Linked DNA regions of Drosophila melanogaster. The protein of the gene in region 1 interacts with the protein of each later gene in a pairwise test. Each region holds a gene or a part of one and is shown on either strand. Other genes may lie near its edges.

Region 1 (6,481 bases):
AATGGCTTAATTAAACGTCCTTTTCCTCCATGATGATAAAAATCAAACCTAAAAATAAATAACAGCTTAAAATACCGGTGGAATATTTAAAGAAAAATAAAAACACAAAAAGAGAACCAAAATACCTTAATATCCTAATTAATACACGTATCGAGATCCACGTTATGTTTGTGTGAGCACGCAGTACATCATCAGTAGTATGCAAAGGATTGAAAATGCGAACCATGCCATTACAGGGATTCTGAGGGCATCTAGTGACCACAATGATTCATGACCTTGAAATGGGGTACAGCCCTTCTTAAGCTGAAATGTATACATTAGCATCCACACAGAAAAATACCCAGGATACGGCTTAACGCCCGCTTTATACTTATTGCAAAACCAAGCGATATCCATTGAATGCTCTCCTTCCGAATTACGGAAAACTATACTCAATTTCCCGAATTAGTTTATTTCCGAAAGCAGCATAGGTCTAAACTTCATAATTAGTATAAATGTCACCCAATGATTAAGTGTGATGTATTGGTAAGCCCAAATGCTAGCATCAAATTCCTGATTTCTGGACTTAGTTTTACTACATTTATACCCGTTGCTTTAAGGATGACGCACAAGTAAAAAATAGAAATAATAAAAAAGAGTAACTGATGACGATTGGCAATGAATGAATGAAGCCCCAGGACATTCAGACAAAGATGAACATTGGTAATTTCTTTATATTTTTTTATTACACATAGTCATAATACAATTCGCAGGTGCTCAGCAAGTGGCGATCAACAGCGTAGGTAATCCACCTGTTCGCTGCTTTGGAAAGTGATTTCCCAGTACAATTTAGTTAAGCTTCAATACAGTTTTCCTTCGATTCGCGTAATGATGATGTGCATATAATTTAGCTTAAAATTACTCAAATACAATATTGCATATTTTAAAGTGCTGGGGCATCGCGGTACAACTAAACGAGACATTTGCTTTCTTATTGTTTAAAAAATAAAATGGTACAAATTGCGTTGAAAATTCAGCTTGGTTGTGATGGTGGAGCAAACCTAAACTACGAGAAATTTCGGCAAACGAATTCGATGGGAAAGCGAATGTGTGATGGGAATGGAAAGCAGGTGCGGACATTTACAAAAATACATATATGGTATTCGGCCACTGTTTAGAAGTCGTACGAGTCGGTCTCATCATCGCCCTTGCGTACCTTGAAGATTAATCTGTAGATGATTCCGGCCAACAGGCCGCCGGCAATGGGACCCACCCAGTAAACCCAGTGATAGGTCCAGACGCCCTGCACTACGGCGGGACCAAAGGACCGGGCGGGATTCATGCTGGCACCGCTCAGTTTGATCTGTAAATGGTACACTTATTAACCTCCAGTCGGAGAACTCCATCACCTCGTACTCACTGCACACAAATGGCCAGCGGCGATGGCCAAACCAACAGCCAGTGGCGCTGATCCCTTGATATCCTGGCGTCCAGGATCCGAAACAGCCTTGACCACGAAAACCAAAATAAAGGTGATCAGCGCTTCGATCAGCACCGCCTGTGCACAGTTCAGGGAGGGATCAAAGGAGGATACTCCCAGGTCGCCACCAGCCACTCCATCGAGTGCCACCTTTATCACAGCCGCTCCAGCAATGGCGCCCACGCATTGGACGATGATGTAGAAGGCAGCCTTCAGAATGCTGATCTCACCAACGATCAGGAATCCAAGGGTGACCGCCGGATTAATGTGACAGCCACTGAGGTGGCCCAAGCCCTGAGAGAGAGAACAAAATAAGAGGATATTCAAGAATATATTTATTATAAGGCTCAATAAAAGAGGAAAAAAAGTATGAAGATCAAATCAAGGAGGCTAAGGCCCAGTCGAACATAATGTAGATAATGGCCTATCTCCACCTCCATCGGCGCTTGCAAATGTCGAGTTGACAACGCAACATCTTAACCATAGCTGCGCTCAAAGTTTGCCCTTTGCCATGAAGCTGATTGTGCGATTTTCCGAATTTTCCATTGCACAATATCGTTGCATATCGAACTGCCAGCGGATACAAGCAATTTGTCAGACGTGAGATGCACTCGAGTGCATTTATTGTGTTTAGCGTGTCTGCAAAGTTCAGGTGGAGCTGGCTGGGAAGTAAAAGTGATTCGGGGTTCTGTTGAGTCATTGCCCGTGAAGAGATCACATGGAATCACTTAAATGGAAATCGCATTGGATCGGATCGCCTCGCATCGCATCGCATCGTATTGGATTGGATTGGATTGGATCAAGTGTTATGAATGGAGCCCGAAATGCACTGTTCACTCTGCGCCCAAGGTCGATGTGCAGGCTTCTATGTTTGATATCTCTTTCCAGCCGTGTTTCTCTACGTTTTGGTGATACGAATTCGATTTCGATATGGATTTCGCGGTTCGCAGTTCGCATTGGACGCACGGCCAATGTCGTGCGTCGCTGTGCGTTTAATTAATAAATGCGCAAAAAAGAAAAAAACAAAAAAAAATGCCCGTGTGTTGGCTGTTCGGCCACAAAACGCTAATTACAAATGCCGCCAAGAGCAAGTTCGAGTCGCGTTTTGCGGCCCAAACGGCAATAGGCCACAAATCCGAGCAGCCACTACAACTCGAACAACTTCTTGACATTTTGGTTATGCGCATGCGTGCAGCGCAATTTCGACTTCGTCTATACTAAGACTAAGTTGCCGCCTTTGCTGCCGCCACTCAGCCTGACCTAATCGTTTGGATCTAAAGCTTTTAGCCACAATAGTTTAGGCCTATTGTTCTCGACTCAATGCCTCCACTCGTCTTAGCTGCACACACTCGAAGAGTCGTGAAATTAATCAAATTTATTGTCGAGCCCGAAACCCATAATTAAATTTAATATATGCAACGAAAGCAATCGAGATCGACAGACCGGCTGCGTGTGAAAACCGCGAATGACGGACTGACTGAACTTAGACGTGAGTCATCGATGAAATATGGCTCTAATCGAGTTAGGCCTATGTGATTACGCTACGAGTTTATTACGCATTTCGAATGGGTTAATTACACTATGTGACTTTTTAGTTCTAAGCCGATCTAATTAAAAAATGTTAAATATATTTTTAATTTTTATGAATTATGAATTGCATTATGTTTTTCTGTGTATGCAGATAACTATACCCACATGCTGTGCAGAGCGATAAGTCGTACATAGTACCTATCTCTTATCATCATGCAGCGTCAGATTTTCTGTTTCTTTCTTTATTGGATTTCTTTCTAATATACTTGGTTTCGAAGCATTTAAGTCAGTCTGTTTTTGGCACTCGGATTTAAAAGATCTCAGAATCGCAGCAATGCAAAAATCTATTATATTTTTGGTACTCCCGTTGTGTCTGAGTTCAAGTTATTCAGCAGCCTGCGAGGTGAGTGAAGTAGAGAAGTGGTTTAGAAATGCTAAATATTTACATTCACATATCTTCTTAGGGCGTTGAAAGCGATTCCCAATGTGCTGCATATTGCTACGGTGTCTTGAATCCCTGCATCGCGAGCATGGGCAATTTGCAACGAAGGGTTGAAGCCTGTGAAGCAGCTGTTGCAATAGCGAGAATAGCCCTAAATGACCGAAGACTGGACAATTTTGGCACTTCAACGAACTTGCAGCTGGAAAATCAAAATACTTCGCAACAACTGCTGACACACGGTACAGCAATGGGCAGAAAACTGGAAGAAAACGAAATTTTCCAACAACTGGGAAGCAAATACTACTACATCGAAAAGGAAGAGAAGCTAAACTGGCACGATGCTTTGGATAAATGCCACAAAATGGGTGGCCATCTGGCCAGTCTGCAAAGTCAGGAGGAATTGGATAGATTCAATAACCAACTTAATGGCCTGAATCGCTACTGGATCGACGTGACCAATCAGTTCAACGAAAGTGAATTCGTTTCTGTGACCAAAGGATCGAAGGCCAATTTTTTGAGTTGGGCCGATGGGGAACCCACAAAAGATGGAGAGTGTGTGGATATCCGAACATTCAATGGGAAAACTACCATGAACGATAACTCATGTTTTGCCAATCTCTATTTTATTTGCGAAAAATCTATTGAAATATAATACAAAAATATTTATCTCTTTGAAGTTAATATTAGTTTTTGATATCTGACATTTACCACATGGTTTATGGAGGAAATAAGTATAATGTTTATTTCAAAACGAACAAGTTGGAATAAGACTTTATTTACGAATATACATATAATCCTATATGAATTGACCACTATTTCATTATTTTGTGTCAGCACTCTCCGTGCTCTCAAGGTTTTCCATTGGCTACAAAAAGTCTGGCAAGACTCTTCCCCCGATCGAGATATATAAGTTAAGAACCCTCTTCTTGCGCTCTTCGTCAGGACTCACCAGCGCTCGGCTCTCGTGTTTTCGGGCCCCGTCAGCAGGCGACTCGGGGCCTGTCTAGTAACATGTTCGTGTAAGTTACGAACCCTCTTCTTGCGATCTTCGTCAGGACTCACCAGCGCTCGGCTCTCGTGTTTTCGGGCCCCGTCAGCAGGCGACTCGGGGCCTGTCTAGGAACATGTTTGTGTATGTGTGCATTCGGAACAAGTGCCGTTGGTCGCACTCAGGGTGAGGGGTCAACGGGGGAAGCGGATATAAAAGCAGCGGGGCGGGAGAAGAGGCCCCAGTGTCGAACGGACACATAACGGAACCGCTAGCAGATCGCGAACTGAATCTTAAAATAAAGCTAATCGTAAACTCGAACCCTCTTAACTATCTTGACTATTATTTGGAGAACCACAGCATGTTGGTTGTCATATCGAGGTGAGGTATGCGGCAGCGAGTGCCGAGAACCCTGATGCAAGTGGAACTTGCGTTAACTGGCGCCCGAGCAGGGACCGGCAATGTCCGGCCGATAAAAGTGATACGAAAAAATTGTGGAAATTTGTGCGTAAAAATAGTGGTGGTGTGCATAAGTCAGATTAAGATCTGAAATCCATAAATGAAAAAGAAGTGCTGCGTGAGCTGTGTATAAAATGATAAAATAGCAATTACCCGCTGCCGGGGGGAACTACGCCCATCCCGGGGCGCAACAAATATTGCATAATTCAATAAAAGGTGTAAAATTTCTAAAATAAAAATGTAAACCTATGTTGCGCCAAGACCTAATTTAAATTAATAAAACAACGACCCGCTACCGGAGGACGCCACGTCGCCCATGCCGAGCGCAAAAGTTGTACGATACCTATAACATAATTAAAACACGATCAACCCACTGCGGCGGTACGGCTTGTGGGAAAATTTTTTTTTTCTCTCCTTGCCAATTCGCGAGTGCAAAAGATTGTGTATAATAAACCAATAATTAACCATTGCAGCAGTTTACCTGCGGCAGTACGAGTAATATGAGCGCCCAGAGTGATAAGGTGGTGTGTGGCAGCTTGTTGGATACGTTAAGTGGTGTGGAATGCACCCAAAAAAAAACCGCCCAACAAGTTGTGTGGCGGCCGTACCTTAGTAGGCAACCAGCCAAAAGGGATACTACGGAACCACCGTGCCCAGTGCCGAAATAAATTAGAGGTCATCAATAAAAAACTGTAACAGCACGCACGCAAGGAAAAAATATTGCAAAATGGAATAGCGCACAAAAATTGTATAAACACATGCACAACACCACAATTCAAAGGAAAACAAGTATAGTACAATTTCCCCAATTTCCCGAAACGAAATGAATAAAAATTCTCTACAATACACTAATTCACCTTTTTTTACTTATCCCAATAGAATATTCATGCTGTAGGGGTACAACCTAAACGACGAAAACTAATAAAGAGCATACAAGGGTGAGTGAAATATTTCATTAAACTTTATTGCCATATTTGCTAAATTTAGAGAAATAAAGAAAAAGCAAAGAAGAACAGATATTCTTTTTTATCGGGTTAAAACCGTTGTCTCACATTTCCGTAAAGTAATAACAGTTAAAACCAGATCAGGAAAAATTTTCCACAAATCTGATCTAAGAAATTGAGACGTGGCTTTCACATTTAAAAAAGAAACGCGAAAAAGAATAACGAAAGTAATAAAAGTACGTTGTGGCAGCTAATGAAATATTCCCCCCATGCATACCCTATATAAAAAAAACATTAGTTAAAAAAAAAAAAAAAAAAAAAAAAAAAAAAAAAAAAAAGAATGAGTTAAGAAATACAAAAAGAAATACAAAAAAAACTATAAAAAAAATAATATAAAAAAATACAGATTATAAGAAATAAGAAATAAGAAATATAAAAAAATAAAAATATAAGTACACAAAATGTACCGTACCCCCACACACTACGTAGTCTTAGAACAACTTAGACGACCAGATATTTACGAATTGTCTTTTTGTAAGCGCGATTTCTGCATGCGGCGCAAATCCCGCTCACTGGACTGGCTGGGGTCGGCTTGGAAATGGGTAGCTGGATCTCCAGATGCTGCTGATTGGAACGCCGTCTTGGCCGCGCAAGCGACG
Region 2 (7,923 bases), on another chromosome or scaffold:
CACACCGGCAATTGCGCAATGAGCATGTTTAATTGACAATTAACTAACAATGTACTGCTACACGTGTAATAAAATAAAGCACATTAATAACCCATAATCATTTATTTGTACAAATTATGAAACTTACTTGGGGCGCTTCGAAAATATTTTTCAAAACGAAGTAGCTCCCAATTTGAGACTATCTAGTCTAGTCAAATTTGATATACTTTAGATGTGTGCCCTTGGCTATCACCAAGTCGTCCTTCTTGTGCTTCAGGGTGCAATCGATGAAGGCAAGGTACTTGCCCACCTTGGACAGATTGGCCTGAATCACCACATCGTCGCCCAGTTTGGCGCCGTTTAGAAAGTTTACACTAAGATCTACCGAAACTCCGGGATGACATGGCTTGGACATTAGGGCGTAGGTGGTTATCAAGTCCACCAGGGTCATGATATAACCGCCGTGCAAAAACTTGTACAAGTTCACATGATCCTGGTCCACCTTTAGCTCAGCAGTGCAGGCTCCATCGCCACCGTCTACGATCTTGACCTTTAATGGAATATAAGGATGAGATAATGATATTGGTAAGGAGACTCTATGGTGATCTAACCTTCTGTAGGTGACTTTCAAAGCCCGTTGACTTGTTGATAATCTCGGTGATGTGTTTAGCGAATTCGAGTCCCTTCTTGCGAGTTCCCATATTATTTATTGATGTTGCTTTACAGACGATCCGCTAGCTTCTATATAACTACAAAATGAATTAGTTTGTCCGATCGGAACGATTAGAAATATACTAGATTTAGTTTTGTAGATAGATAAGTAGTCGTAACGTGCACTTATATCTCAAGTGTCAGATAGTAATTGTTTTACAATAGAACAATCCAACTTTATTGTATGTATGACGTGTGTAAGTTTGGATGGGACTAAATCCATTAAAAAATAAATCACAGTAGTATATTAACAAATGGATTGCTTTGATTTTTTCAATATTTGATTTCATTATCTTCGAGTGCAGTTTTCCGCTTTTCGATGAAAAGTAAACAATTAGCAAGTATCAAAAAATAAGGTAAACATAATATAGCACGATATTATGAAATAGTTAGTATTTAGTTAACGGATCCTACCTAACTATCCCCGTACTGCCCGAAATTTACATAAAAATCTGAAAATCTAACGTAACACCTAACAAAACAATTTCAAAACAAACAACAGCTGTTTTGCGATAAGCAGAATCGCCAATCGATAAGTTAAAAGGGCAAATCGATATGCAAAGTCCTACCTATTTAAAAATTATCCGTTGGGATTTCTATAGTCTTTCATCTATTTTAGTTTTAAATATCTTTATTTTGTAAATTAAGAAATAACTAACTTAAGAAATAATAAATAATTAAACTAGTACGTCTTAAGCAGAGGTTCGAAAGATTTTATTTCGTTTTCTGACGATCTACAAAAATTGTTTTAAAAATCCAGTTTTTCCTTGTCGAACTGAATGTACTTGACCTGTCCGCCCTTGGCGATGATCTTTCCATCGGACTTACGCCTCAGAATGCAGTCCAAATAGGCCATTTTCTTACCGGCCCGCACGGTATTACAATCAATTTCAATAAGTTCGCCAGGTTTCGCTGCTGCAATGTAGCTTACATTCAGGTTGGCCGTAACTCCGGGATGGGATCCTTGAAATTTAAAAAAATTTCATTGTAGATTCTATAGATTGTAATAAACAAACTTTCAAAATACCTTTCGACATAAGGGCATATGTGGTACAATTATCAACAATTGTTGCCGTAAGACCACCGTGCAAAGTTCCTTGGCGATTCAAATGCTCATTGGCCACAGTGAACTCCCCTATTGCGCGACCATCTCCACCGCCTGTAATTTTAATCTGCGAATTGAAATTTGTTTACATTTTTGAATCTCTGAAGATCCCACGAGAGAGGTGAGCACTTCACGGTTATCGATTGCAGCGAGCTGAATTATGTAATACCATCACTGATGACAGTCAGCTGTTTTTGAGAGACTTCGACGGCGTCGCTTTAAAATCGGCTGCACAAATTGTTTAGAATCTTACCATTTTCAAGACGCGGTCGAATCCATTGGACCCGCTGGCGTACTCGGACATCTGCTTCACAAAGTCCTTTGAAAAGAAAGAACTTCAGTTATCTACTCAACAAGTTACATGGTGCTCTAACCATTCCCAGTTTCTTGGCCGCCATTCCGGTGGATTTGGATTCCTGAACTGAGCACGACGAAATGACGAAAGTTACTGAGGGAGAAATTTCACATGGCGTTCAAGATGTCGGGAAATGTGAGTGTATGCGTGCTAAATAGATATACCCACACATCTGAGATAGTGATTGCCGATTTCGCGCGGTTTGTTGTGCTCGCTCTGTTCGCACTTACAAATAATTCCTATTCTTCAATGAAATAGTGTAACTGGAATATCTTGTAATATAATTGCAGTTTGTTATTGCAATTAATAAATGTTTAATTTCGTTCTAGATTATCTGGATTTTCACCTTCTAGCCAAAGGATTCGTCCGCCAGGACTCGGTACACGACTTTGTAAACAGCGATTCCGATGGAGACTTTATAGCACTGAGCGGCTCCAAATCGGAAGTGATCACTCTGGAATTGAGCAGCAAGTTCATGGTCGTGGATCCCTTTCCGTATTTTGTGGCCATTTATGATTCCAACGCTGCGGAAACACGACCTCTGGACGTTTTGGCCAACAAAGTGGATCTGGTTGCCATATACGACAGCTGCGATGTCCTGGAGGCACAGCACTTGGCCCTGGACCCGGCATACACGGCTGTGTGCTCCGTTGCCGTGCCACCAGCCAGACTAACAGCTGTTAAGCGAGCACCCAAGCTGGCAGCTAATGGAAATCTCCTCCTGGGCTCCCTCAACACTTATGGATCCTTGAGCCTAATAAACAAGTCCGCTGAGTACAATCGTTGGAACCCTGTGGAAGGACTAAATATCGCTGAAACTCTGAGGGACACTCTGCTGCCTGAAGTGGACATCGCCAAGATAAAAGACTTTAAGAGCTATCAAGAATATATTAATCCCGCCTGGATCACTATGTTTGCTTGGTTACCTGATGATGCAGATGCCACTGGCCAGCATGTTTTGGTTCTGGGAACAGCCGCAGGAAGTTTGTGGTTGCTCACACTAAGCGCCGATGTCAAAACTCTTTTAAGTCATCAAGAAACGAAAACCTCAATGGGTCGTATCTGCCATATACAAGCTTTCAAGGACCTTCTACTGGTGGGCGATAGCAACGGACTCATTCACCTGTACCAATTGCCAGCTAAGGGAAATACAGCTCTCGCCTTAGTGAAGCCCTTGTGGGAGAAAGCCGATCGCATGGGTCTGCAAATGGCAGTGATCACTGAATGTCCCAGAATGGATTGCTATTATATAACCTGCTGCAAGGCGGCGCACCTGCTGACCTGGAGCATGCCAAGAACGGGGAGCACAGACTGCCTGCAAGCTCGGATCTATGTCGGCGGAATGAAGATCACCGCTCTCTGCAGCCTGGAGAACAGTAGCTACGTTGCAGGAACCGCTGGAAGCTGTTTGTCTTGCGTACAAATTATCCACGAGAATAATCAGCTTAGCCTGCAGATGCAATCGATAGCCATGGGTGTCCTTCAGGATTTCCAGGTGATGGGACTGTGCACCAGTAGGCACAAGAACTTAATGACCCTGTTACTCTACCGCAACAAGGAATATCTAAATGAAACTGTATCTCAAAAGAACCAGTTGGTTATGCAAGTGCTCAAGGTGGGGAATCAGGATCCACTTGATCAGCTTGTCAGGCATCTGGAATCCAATAAGCCCATGAATCACTATACCGATTTATTAGCTGGACTACGTCTGCACGTTTTTGCCGAGGAGAATTGGCAAAAATTTATGGACTTTTGTCCATTAGATTCCATTGAATTTGCCGATACCGCCACTGAAGGTCAGCTGCAGCAGCTGCAAATTAAATTTCATGTTCTTCAAAACGTGATTCGCCTGCAATCGAGCCACCTCCAGCTGACAGTTCACATCCAAAAGTCCCGGGATGAACTGCAGCTGCTCCTTGCGATGCTGAATATCACACACATAAGACTGAGGCTCCAGTTTATTGGGTCATTAAGTAAGAGATCACCATTCCAGGAGCAGGCGATAAAATGTATGTTCGAGGAGGCCCACAGACTGATAAATAAACTCAATGACGACTTCACGGAAAACCATGCCCTAGGATCCACAGCAAGGACATTCGTTGAACAAATGGGCAACCATATTCAGCACTTGCACGAGATGCTAGGTATACCTGTGATATCTAATCCCCAGAAGCAACTTCATCGATGCAGTGTGTCCTTTGTGGAGGTAAGAATTCACTAGAATTCATTTTAAGACAAGACTACAGTATCCGTACAGATCTCCCTCAGCTTGGAGCGACGCTACTGCAGCCTCTGCAACCGCCAAATCCTATTCGAGCTGGACAATCTGCAAGAACTCTACGAGTCGGGGAGACATCTGACATGTCCCGTTTGCCATGGAAGCTTTGCCACGGAAATGTTTAATGCATAAACGTTAAATTTATTCTCAATCTTAATTACGAAGTGTTTTGTGTGTCCGCCTCTAAGAGCAAAGCAAGTGAATCCATGGAGACACCTCACTCGGCTTCCAGATGCCGACACACATGGTCAGAAAAGGTGTGTGTGTCATTGTTAGTACTCGGAAACATAGATAATGGGAGTGGTCTCGATTAGCAGAATGTCCTGCTCCACCTGGCGAAGATCGGACTCCAGCTTGCTTTTGCGCTGCCGCTTGGCGATGCTGTCGATAAGGAGCGACATCGACTGATACTGCTTGGTCATCTCGGTCAGGCTCAGTCGCAGTCCCTCGAGGATCTCATTTCGCTCGGCCTGCTCCATCACCCGCATACCCGGCATTGGCGGCGGACCACTTGATTGGACGGATGCCCTGGTGAAACCCTTGATACCGCGGCACAGCTCCAGCAAACGTGCCTGTTCCTTGGCACACACCGCATTCATGTCGGCCAACATCCTCTTGGTTTTCTTGAGGTAAACAGGCACCTTGCCGAAATCCTTGCGGCAGATAAACTGCGGTACCAATCCGGAATTGAGTAGATCGTGACGAGCTCCCACGGGAGTGTCTACATAACGAGGTGGCGGGGGACAGGGAACCGTTTGTCCGGCACATATCTTGTTGCGTTTGATGAAGTTAGGTACCATTGCCGGCTTTTTGCCGCCACTGCCCGGTGGTGGTAGTGGGGGCATTGGCGGCATCTTGGGACACTTGTGGGTGTTCTCTCGCCGCCATTTGATGCCCTGGCTCTTGCGCAAATAGGCGCACGGTGGGTCAATCGGAGTGTGAGCACAGCCCATGGTGCGGTGGGCTGATTTCTTGGCCTCTGTCAGGACGCGGGTTCCATCGTTCTGGAGGATAATCGATAGCTTCTTGTCCTCCTCGTTAAAGCGTTCGCGAAGTCTCTTGGCATACTTGGCTGCCCTCTCCACAACAGCTGCAAAATTGCTTAAAGTTAGGTGGGAGGTAACGATTTTTAGTACGAATCCCTACGATTTTTGTAGACAAAAATTGATTCCTTAGGTCCTTGGGCCTTCACAAAGTCCTGCTCGCACTCGAGAATATTCTCATCGTGATGGGTGATATAAACCAGGGACATTGTAATACAAATATGTAAGGATGAAGGTAGGGAACTCGAAAGCGTGCTAGTTTACTGACTATTCGTTTAATAATAACAGTCTGTTTGGTGGAGACTCCTGCGTTGCCAAGTACCTCTGCGTTGACTTGGATTGATTTAACTCGAAACAAAGGTTGCTATAGGATTTCCAGAATAAACAGAAGGCAACATCGTTTCCTGGTGATATTGTAATATTCAGATATTTTCTAGCAATCGGAATTCGATATTTGTTCTGGATCTTTTAGGAGAACACACAAAATTGGTATTATTGTATATATATTTTTTAAAGCACAAAATCAAGCTACAGCTTGTGTCGCACACGAGTTACATTATTAAATTGTAAATAATTTGTTACCATATAAAATTCGTGTATATAAATATTTCGCTTGCGTATATAAAATAATTGTTTGCATTGTAAAATTAGCACTAAGATCGTTTGTCATGGTTACATTTTGATTCCGAAGCTTAACAATAAACATGGAAGTGTTGGAAGCACGATTTAAATACGAATACGACATAGATTCAGATACGGGTTACAGATTACAGATTCAAAACAGCACACAGAAATGCTGGTGCCGTCTTACAAGCTAGATATGTGGTTTAATGAATAATGAATTTGACGATGTTAACGAATGTAAAAGCCACTCGAAATTTGCACTGTTTTTGGATGGGGTCAGCTCTCCTCAGCTGACCACCAATAGGCACTACGAAAATCTCGGATCAGCAACATGGTCCTTCCTTTGCTATTGCACGTTGACAAGTAGATGTACTGGAGATATGATTTCATTTAGCTGAACCAGCAGTTTCACTTGTTGCCGCTGCTCTCGCGCTCCTCTCGAATCCTCTTAAATGCCTCCGTCTTGACAAAGTCCACGGATCTATAGACCACGCTGCTAGGCACTGGCGCTCGAGCTCCGCCAGCTTCGACGCCTGCGAATCGCATTCCACTAGCTCCATTTCCGCCTTGTGAGTACAGATTCCCCACACTCATGCTGGATCGATTTAGCAATGGCGGTTTGTTGGTCACATCCAGATCAAAGTACTGCAGCTTGTGCTCAGTCTGCGCCGCCGCTTGCTGCTTGGGAGCAGCTGCTGCCGTCAAGCTCATCATGGCAGCCGCTGCGGAGGCGGTGCGCTGATGTTGTACCGACATGCTGCCGGGACTGTTCGGATGATGCCGATGCTGTTGGCGAGGCAGGGTGCGGGTCTCGTGAAAGAAGGCGTTGGCTGCCGCCGGGGAGTGTACATCCGTTTCATGCGGCAGCACCATTGAGAGAGGGGCACCGGAGGAACGTCGCGTTGCCGGCGACATGGTAGCCGAATTGCCCAACTAAAAAGAAGTCATTAGTAAATTGAATATGGGTGTGCACAACGTTTGTCACTCACCTTATAGGCATTCGGTTTGCACTTCCTGTCCACACTGGGCGGTCCAATGGGCTGCTGCAGTTGGGCTGCACCCAGTTTATTGGTTAACTGATCTACGCCCACCGGGGGCTTTGCAGGAAACTCCTCCGGCGGTTTGTCCTCTACAACTGGCAATCCACCCGCCACCTTTGGCTTAAGTTTCCGGTTAACCGGCGGGCAGTCCGCCTGCTCCATGAAGTCGTATCGAAAAACATTGCCCTCCATCTTTGTGGGAGCTGCATTGGTGTAGCAGTGTCGAGGCAATGTGCGCGCACTGGTGGGCGATGATGCGACTGCCTGTGCCTCACCCATCAGGCCGGGATTCGCTGCCGCTGAAATTGCGGCCACTGCACCCAGATCGGCCGCCATGAGATTCGGTGTGGATGCTGCAATGGGATTGGAATTGTGCGGGCTGGTGACTGGTCGCTCGCCCAGCAGCTGGTTGACGTTGTAGTAAGGCTGCTGGTGGGACCTTGGAATGTCATAGCTTTCCTCGATGAAAGCGGAGTGCGCGTTGCGGCGGGCCACAATGGCCGGCGAAGTATTTTCCGTATCCGACAGCTGCGGCAGATCGCGAGGAATTCTGTCAATGCGCAGGATGATTTAGTAGGCCGTTTAAAATTGAATTGAGTGTGTGTTAACTCACTTTTCATTCTCCTTAAAGTCCAATATGAGATTATTTTTGTTCTTCAGCACCTTGGCCAGCTTATCCAGCGTTCCCTGGTCACCAGCCTCTGGCAGAGATGCTGCTCCTGCTAGCTTGGAACTCTTTTCAGCTGGTGGCACGATCGCTCCTCCTTCCTCGGGCATTTTAGAGAATC
Region 3 (6,922 bases), on another chromosome or scaffold:
ATTCAAGCAACCAAATTTACAACGAAGTAGCAGTTATAGTAGCTCCAACCTCCCCTCCGACAAATCCGGCACAGAAATTTAGTTATGAATTTTATTTACACACAAGAACATTTCTAGAGAGCAGCATCTTCCCACCTTTGGCTAGTAGGACTACGATAAAACAAAAAAAATTTAAAGAACATATTTACCAAAAAAGTTTCGGGCAATTTGGAAATTTGCAAAAATCATTGAGACAAACGCGAGAAGCACCCACGAAGAGTAGCAAATGGAATCTTGTACAATAGTTCTATTGAAAGACATTCGAAATGAAAGAAAAGCAAAGAAAGCTAGAAAAGCATATCCTTCCCGGCCAGATCTACGCAAAGAGAGAGACAGATAGAGATAGATAGAGAGAGACAGCCAAACAAAAGGACAGGTAGTATGCGAGTATAGCATATATGCATATATTCCATAGCCAGAACAGGAGTAAAAGGACCACAATCGCGAAAAGTTAACATTTCGGACACAAGGTTGGGGATACCTAGTGTAATTGCTTAGACTTAAGAGTGTTGCACTAAGCCAAGTGCAGTGCCGACTGACCCCGCCCACAACAACGCCCCCCGTTGAGCAAAAAAAAAAAACCGTAGATAATGGAAATTTCCCATCGGGCAGACCAAAAAGATACATCTTAGGCCTCTTTAGACCCAAATGAAACAAAATGAAGACCTAAAGAAATGAAGAAAGAACAGGAACTACGATTAAGCGCGAATTGTACCACGTAACTACACTTTGTATCCCCTTAGTTAAGCTAAAATTATTCGAGATATATACGAGAAATTGCACAAAAAAAAAACGCACAAAATGCTAAAGAAAGGAAAACTAATGTAGATAATGCCAATCCTTTTGTCTAAAATTTCAACTCTTGGAAATTTCGCAATTGAATTGCGGAATATTTTAGACGAAACGATTGCCGCATTTTTTATGTGATTTTATACACACAATTCATTTGCACACAGAAGTATAATTATCTATATTTTATTTCGATAATCTCCCTACACTATCATTATCGTCGTCAGATTCAATTTCTTATATTTTTTTTTTCGACACATGTGATAAGCGAAAATGTTAAGCAAAACATTGGAAAAACGAATTTCAACCAGGACAAAAAAAAGAACCAAAATCAAAACTGTGTTAATCAATCTTTGATAGATCTACAAAAAAAATTTAAGTTTCAATAAGTAAGCTAAAAATACGAGTTTAATGTATACAAAAGTATCATTTGGCACAAATCCATCAAAATCACAATTAATCCTTTATACGAATATATATTATTTAAATTGTTATTTCAACCGTACAACCTCAAAAACACATAAATATTGTAAACATTAGAAATAGCGAGATTAAAAAAATACCAAACAAAAATCAATAAAATTGTACAAGCCAATTTGCTCTAATAACAAAACAATACAAACTGTCTTTTACTTAACTGTGCTATTATTAAGTGAGGATATTTGGAAAAGGGATTCCAAATGAAAGTGTGAATCTTCCAAGGGATATTTACGAAATCTGTAATAATGGTCACCACTTCTTCAAATGGTAAGAAAAAATTAATATATGTATATATTCGTCAGACATTATTAAAACTCTTATTTCCCCTCTTATCTCCCTTTAAATCTCTTATTTCAATATCTTCCTATAGTCTTTAAAATTATCTGAGAGAGCCAATTTAAATGAATCCCTGCCAGAGAGTGAATTGCTTTCAGTGATAAGTTTGCAACGCAGCAATGGATACATTTACCACCATATAAATTCGTGATTAGAATCAACAGCCGAGTCGATATAGCCATGTGATCTCTTCCGTTTCTATGCATATTGCATCTCCCGGGTTTAAAGTGTTTTTCTTTAGTACAGTATATTAGTCGGAACAGACCGGATGGGACCAAATTAATAATAATAATCGAAAAATACAAAACTATTCCCGTGCAAAAAGCCATCAGAGATAATTAATAATCACCTTCGCTAGACGCAATCCACTTAAAACTCAATTAAAGCCATACTCACATGACAAATTATTTGATAAGAATGTTTATAGTTTGTATTAAGATATATATAAATATTGCTTCAGATAAGATTACCAAGACATTCAATATGATCAATTTTTAGTTTCGCTACAAGCTGCCATTAATAGGTCGTTAGTCCAAAAAAAAAACCACTTCATTTGACAATCGAATGCATTGAGGTTGGTCAATATTCATCATCGATTTATTACGACATTCCATCGCAGCGTCTTAGGTTAACAATAACATTCAGTGCACAGGTTATGTTTAAGAAAAGATCCACGTTTGATTTATTATACTACATCCGTTGCTAAGAGTAGTTCGAATTCGGTTGATTTTCTAATTTTTGTGACGCTCGCAAAATGAAATAATAAATAACCAAAGACAGTTTCAAATTAAGAAGGCTAATATCAAATTAAGGCCGTGGACGTGTCTTAAGACAATTCACATTACAATCCGGCAACAATTATTGCTGGGTTCTCTACGGCAGCCTTTATTTTTCGCAGGAACAGGACCGCCTCACGTCCATCAATGATTCGGTGATCGTAGGTCAGGGCGATGTACATCATAGGACGTATCTTGACCTGGTTGGACAATGCAATGATTAAAATACAGCAGGTTGTTAAGCGAATGTTGAGGAGTCCTCACCTCTCCCTTGACAGCAATTGGCCGCTCAAAGATGCCGTGCATGCCGAGAATGGCACTCTGTGGCGGATTGATGATGGGCGTGCCCATCAGGGATCCGAACACTCCGCCATTGCTGATGGTGAAGGTGCCACCGTCCATGTCCTCCACGGTGATGGCATCACGCCTGGCCTTATCGGCCAGACCGGCCAGTGCGATCTCGATGTCCGCATAGTTCATGCCCTCCACGTTGCGGATGACGGGTACCACCAATCCACGGGGCGTAGCCACGGCCACAGAGATGTCAACGTAGTCGCGATACACGATGTCCTGCAAAATGAAGGCAATTATGAGCGCTTGGCAACACAGAAAATTCCACATTCATCATATCGCCACGGGAAATTGCATAAACAAATGCGACCATATAAGCTAAATGTTCGCCTGATAAGGCCATTTAAAAAAGCGTGGCAATCCAAACTACGTCACGGGCGATAAGAATATGATAAGCGGAGGGCGGGGCGGAGGCTTGTTTACCGTGCCATCGATGACGGCGTTCACTACGGGCTGATCCTGCAGCGCATAGGCACTAGCCTTGGCGAAGATCGACATGAATCCAAACTTAATACCATACTTCTTAGTGAACGCATCCAGATTCTGCTTTCGGAAGTCCATGGCATAGCTAAAAAAGAAACGATTATGCGTTTTATAGCTCAATTTCATGCTGTAGTTTCGTCACTCAGTTCGTTCAAGCACTCACCTCATATCAACCTCGTTGAAAGTGGTGAGCATGGCACATGTGTTCTGGGCATCCTTCAAGCGGGCGGCAATCTTTAGACGCATGCGGTTCATCTTGACACGCTGCTCGGACCTAGTGCCTAGGATCTGCCGCGATCCGTCCGCTGGTGGCACCTTCACCTGGGCGACGGCCGGTTTGAGTGCAGCCACTGGAGCAGGTGGCGGTGGTCGAGGGGCTGCCTTTGGTGGTGGCGGTGGTGGTGGCTTTGGTGCGCCGGCCGCAGGTGGTGGAGGTGCCGGCTTGGGTGCAGCAGCTGGAGCTGGTGCTGCTTTTGGGGCAGCAGGCGCAGGAGCAGCCGCTGGAGCAGCTGCCTTGGCGGGCGCTGCACCGGGCTTGATCTTGAACAGAGCCTGGCCGGGCTTGACGGTGTCGCCATCCTTCACCAGAATGTCGGTTAGAGTTCCGGAGAAGGGAGCTGGCACAGCCACCGTCGTCTTGTCGGTCTCGATTTCCATGACAGCCTCGTCAGCGGCGAATGAGTCACCCACCTTGCAAGTAAACCTGTTGCAGGAATTGATCGTTAATAGATGAGCATGAACCTGTTGCTTGAAACCAGCCCTGTGCCGTGGTCTTACTTGATGTCACCCTCGGCAATGGAGTCCGCAAAGGGTGGCACATTGACGGTCTGCTCCGACCACAAGCTCGACGTGGTGTGGATTCCCTGCCAGGTGAGAAGCCTAGGAATAAACAACTCTGGATGAAGGGACTCTTGTGGATAGTGAAGGACTTACCTGGTGGCCTCCTGGCAGCGATTCGAGCCATCCTGGCGAAGCAGTTGCTGCTGCTGGGCGGCGCAGGCAACTAACCGAGAATATTGGCGGATGCAGCGCTTTACCTGGCGGAAAGAAGCAAATATTAGTGATTGCACAACCAGGAGGCAACGTCGGCTGACGGGTCACGTGCAGCGGGCGTCCCAAACAAAAGTTTTTCCCATTTTTCAGCGGCGCACGCACACACACCCATACAATTACATAATCGGCGAGCGCCAGGCGGGCAGTGAATATGGGATAAAAATTGATATGTACATATATATCGCCGGAGCATATATCACACACCTGACGGGCCCCCTCCACCCGGCAATCCCCAGCCCGTCCACAATTTTTACCTCATTACTCCGCAGGGCTCGCATTCCCAAAGTTTGGGGCAGCCGTCTCGTTACGATCGAAATTATTCCCGTCATTGCTGCGACTCTGGTCCGCGAAATTCTGTTCGACGGTTGTTCTACTTTCAATTTATGTCAAAGCACTCGAATTTAAAACAGAGTTAGCGGCCAAGGCAAAGCAACGTCGATTTCTGCAGTCCGCCCCTTTCCCTTTAAAAAAATACCAATTTCTTATGTCATGACAGAAACGGCAAAAGCGTCACCTGGCGGAAAAGCGCGCAAAGCTTGCAAACAGCTGATAGCGGCTTTCGGTATTTTTATCTTGAAGTGCGGCCAGAACAGCAGCCAAACTATCGATGCCCTTGATAAGTTTTAATTGTGTATAATCAAAATAAATGCAATCTAATGTTTAGCAATAACCTGAGTAGTTAAGTGGTCTTAATATTTTTACAGATTAGCAGAACTTTAGAACTTTATAGACTATTTAAATATAGCTTACTCTGGGAAACCTTTCTGTGAGCGATAAGTTTTTGCTCTGGTCACACATTGCTCGAACTGCTGTCCATTGCAGAAAGTTTCGCGAACGTTGCCAAGCGATTAAACCGATCCGAACCGCCCGCGTACATAATATAATATTCGTGAAAATGAGTTCCAAGTCCCTTTTCGACAGCGAGGAGGATGCCGCTCAGGCCAACAAATTATCCAGGAAAGCAAAGGAATCGCCCTTCATGCTTGTGGGTGAGTTTTGCCAATTTCCGGACAGCGAAAGTTTTGCCGCCGTGACGTCACATGGAAACTTTTGGCTCAGCAGCCAGCTAGATACGCACATATCTACACACATTTACGAATGTACATTGCGTGTGCGGCGGGGAAGTCGGCTAATCTTGACCTTGGCCATGAGTTTAACGTCAATTTGGGGTCACTTTTTGATGTCACTGTGTGACATAACGGTGAATGCAGTATGATCCGTAACTCGTTCTGGAGAGCGAATGATGTAACAGGAGTATTTCGAAATTCACGCAAATCGCAAGGCAAATGAGATTATCACATCCGTGACGTCACGTAGCCATCTGATCTTTGCGCGTGTTCGAATGTTCAGCTCTCTTGTCTGCGTATGCGACAATTAACAGCTGACGCTGACAAGTGCTGACTATTTGAGAGATTTCATCGTTTTAGCTATTAAAAAGATTACAGTAAAATGCGCCGCTTTAAAAATTTTCGAATAGTTTCCGAAGATATGGATATTGCTTGAAATAAACAGTTTCCTAAAGAGCTTTATATTTTAGTTAGAATATAAAATGTTACATTATGTGATTCTATAATATTATCTAAATTCTAGCTTCATTTTTGGCAGCACTAGATTCACATAATTAGTATTTACTTGTATGATTTTATTTGCGCAACGTCTGGCTTTTATCAGCTGTTTCGCGCAGTCAGCTAGCAACAACAAGCAATCCGCCGCATGGACAATAGAAACTAATCGGTGATTCGCACCTTCACTCACAGGTATTACCGGATTCGTGGCCGCCGGATTGATTGGAGCGTACAAGTACCGGAACCGCGGAACGATGAGCACCAGCGTCTTCCTGATGCAGCTGCGAGTCGCCGCCCAGGGAACCGTCGTCGGATGTCTGACCCTCGGACTGGCCTACAGCATGGCCAAGGAGTACCTGTTCGACAAGGCGCCCAAGGAAAAGTAATGGACAGTTCCTACTTAGTTAATACTAGCTGTAGCTTAAGTTGTTTTAACCGCGTACAGAAAGAATCCTGAATCCCAATCCCAATTGAATCCCCAATACAATTGTTTCATATTTATGTCTATTTCCAAATGCTTTCGGTTTCCACATGTCTATTAACATTCACTGAAACGCATATTCCCATATTCATGACTGTCTATTTAGTTTTCATACGTTTTGATTTATTTATTTCCCCTATTTGATTTACTCTTAATTTTAGCACAAAGTCATTGACTAACTAAAGACCATCTGATTGCTCGGCGTCCCTCTCTAAAAATCACAAGATGACATCGGCTAGATCACTTACACATAAGCAATCAGACCCTCTATTTATTGCATCATCATGGTTCATACCGATCCACTTGGATAGAATCACTGGAGGGCAGGACTCTCGCAAGTATTCCCGAGCGTTCAAGCCCACAACATTAGATACAGTTTTGTAAACCTGCGTAAGATTGTGATATTGTGTGTTTTAATGTACAAGTTGAACATCCAAACGAAAGCTGTCGAAGCAGACGACAAGATGATAAATACCTCTCGCATGATATGATATACTTAAATAAATCAATTTAGACTAAAAGAAACCACCCATACGTTTTTTTTACTATCCGGGCCAACATTTTTAAAC

The links. The genes of interacting proteins can lie anywhere in the genome.
Region 2: the proteins of CG7763 (region 1) and CG12182 interact in a two-hybrid assay, tested with the Drosophila melanogaster proteins (one large-scale study listed by BioGRID).
Region 3: the proteins of CG7763 (region 1) and CG5214 interact in a two-hybrid assay, tested with the Drosophila melanogaster proteins (one large-scale study listed by BioGRID).

What each region holds. Positions count from the first base shown.
Region 1 is NT_033778.4:11,411,233-11,417,713, forward strand, and holds CG7763 (uncharacterized protein), read left to right. Parts: upstream 1-3,277; 5' UTR 3,278-3,323; coding exon 3,324-3,392; intron 3,393-3,453; coding exon 3,454-4,083; 3' UTR 4,084-4,230; downstream 4,231-6,481. Other genes in the region: drip, read right to left, coding at 163-303, 1,196-1,342, 1,400-1,753.
Region 2 is NT_037436.4:2,593,627-2,601,549, reverse strand, and holds CG12182 (uncharacterized protein), read left to right. Parts: upstream 1-1,970; 5' UTR 1,971-2,048; coding exon of another isoform or gene 2,049-2,114; 5' UTR 2,115-2,169; coding exon of another isoform or gene 2,170-2,193; 5' UTR 2,194-2,230; coding exon 2,231-2,285; exon of another isoform or gene 2,286-2,425; intron 2,426-2,479; coding exon 2,480-4,356; intron 4,357-4,407; coding exon 4,408-4,560; 3' UTR 4,561-4,700; coding exon of another isoform or gene 4,701-5,518; 3' UTR 5,519-5,574; coding exon of another isoform or gene 5,575-5,680; 3' UTR 5,681-5,708; downstream 5,709-7,923. Other genes in the region: CG16986 (uncharacterized protein), read right to left, coding at 188-529, 591-680; CG16985 (uncharacterized protein), read right to left, coding at 1,439-1,653, 1,718-1,862, 2,049-2,114, 2,170-2,193; CG16984 (uncharacterized protein), read right to left, coding at 4,701-5,518, 5,575-5,680; dos (daughter of sevenless), read right to left, coding at 6,504-7,028, 7,085-7,685, 7,749-7,923.
Region 3 is NT_033777.3:11,242,156-11,249,077, reverse strand, and holds CG5214 (uncharacterized protein), read right to left. Parts: upstream 4,777-6,922; 5' UTR 4,637-4,776; coding exon 4,562-4,636; intron 4,292-4,561; coding exon 4,188-4,291; intron 4,134-4,187; coding exon 4,032-4,133; intron 3,958-4,031; coding exon 3,418-3,957; intron 3,340-3,417; coding exon 3,195-3,339; intron 2,991-3,194; coding exon 2,685-2,990; intron 2,621-2,684; coding exon 2,486-2,620; 3' UTR 2,216-2,485; downstream 1-2,215. Other genes in the region: CG17734 (uncharacterized protein), read left to right, coding at 5,203-5,523.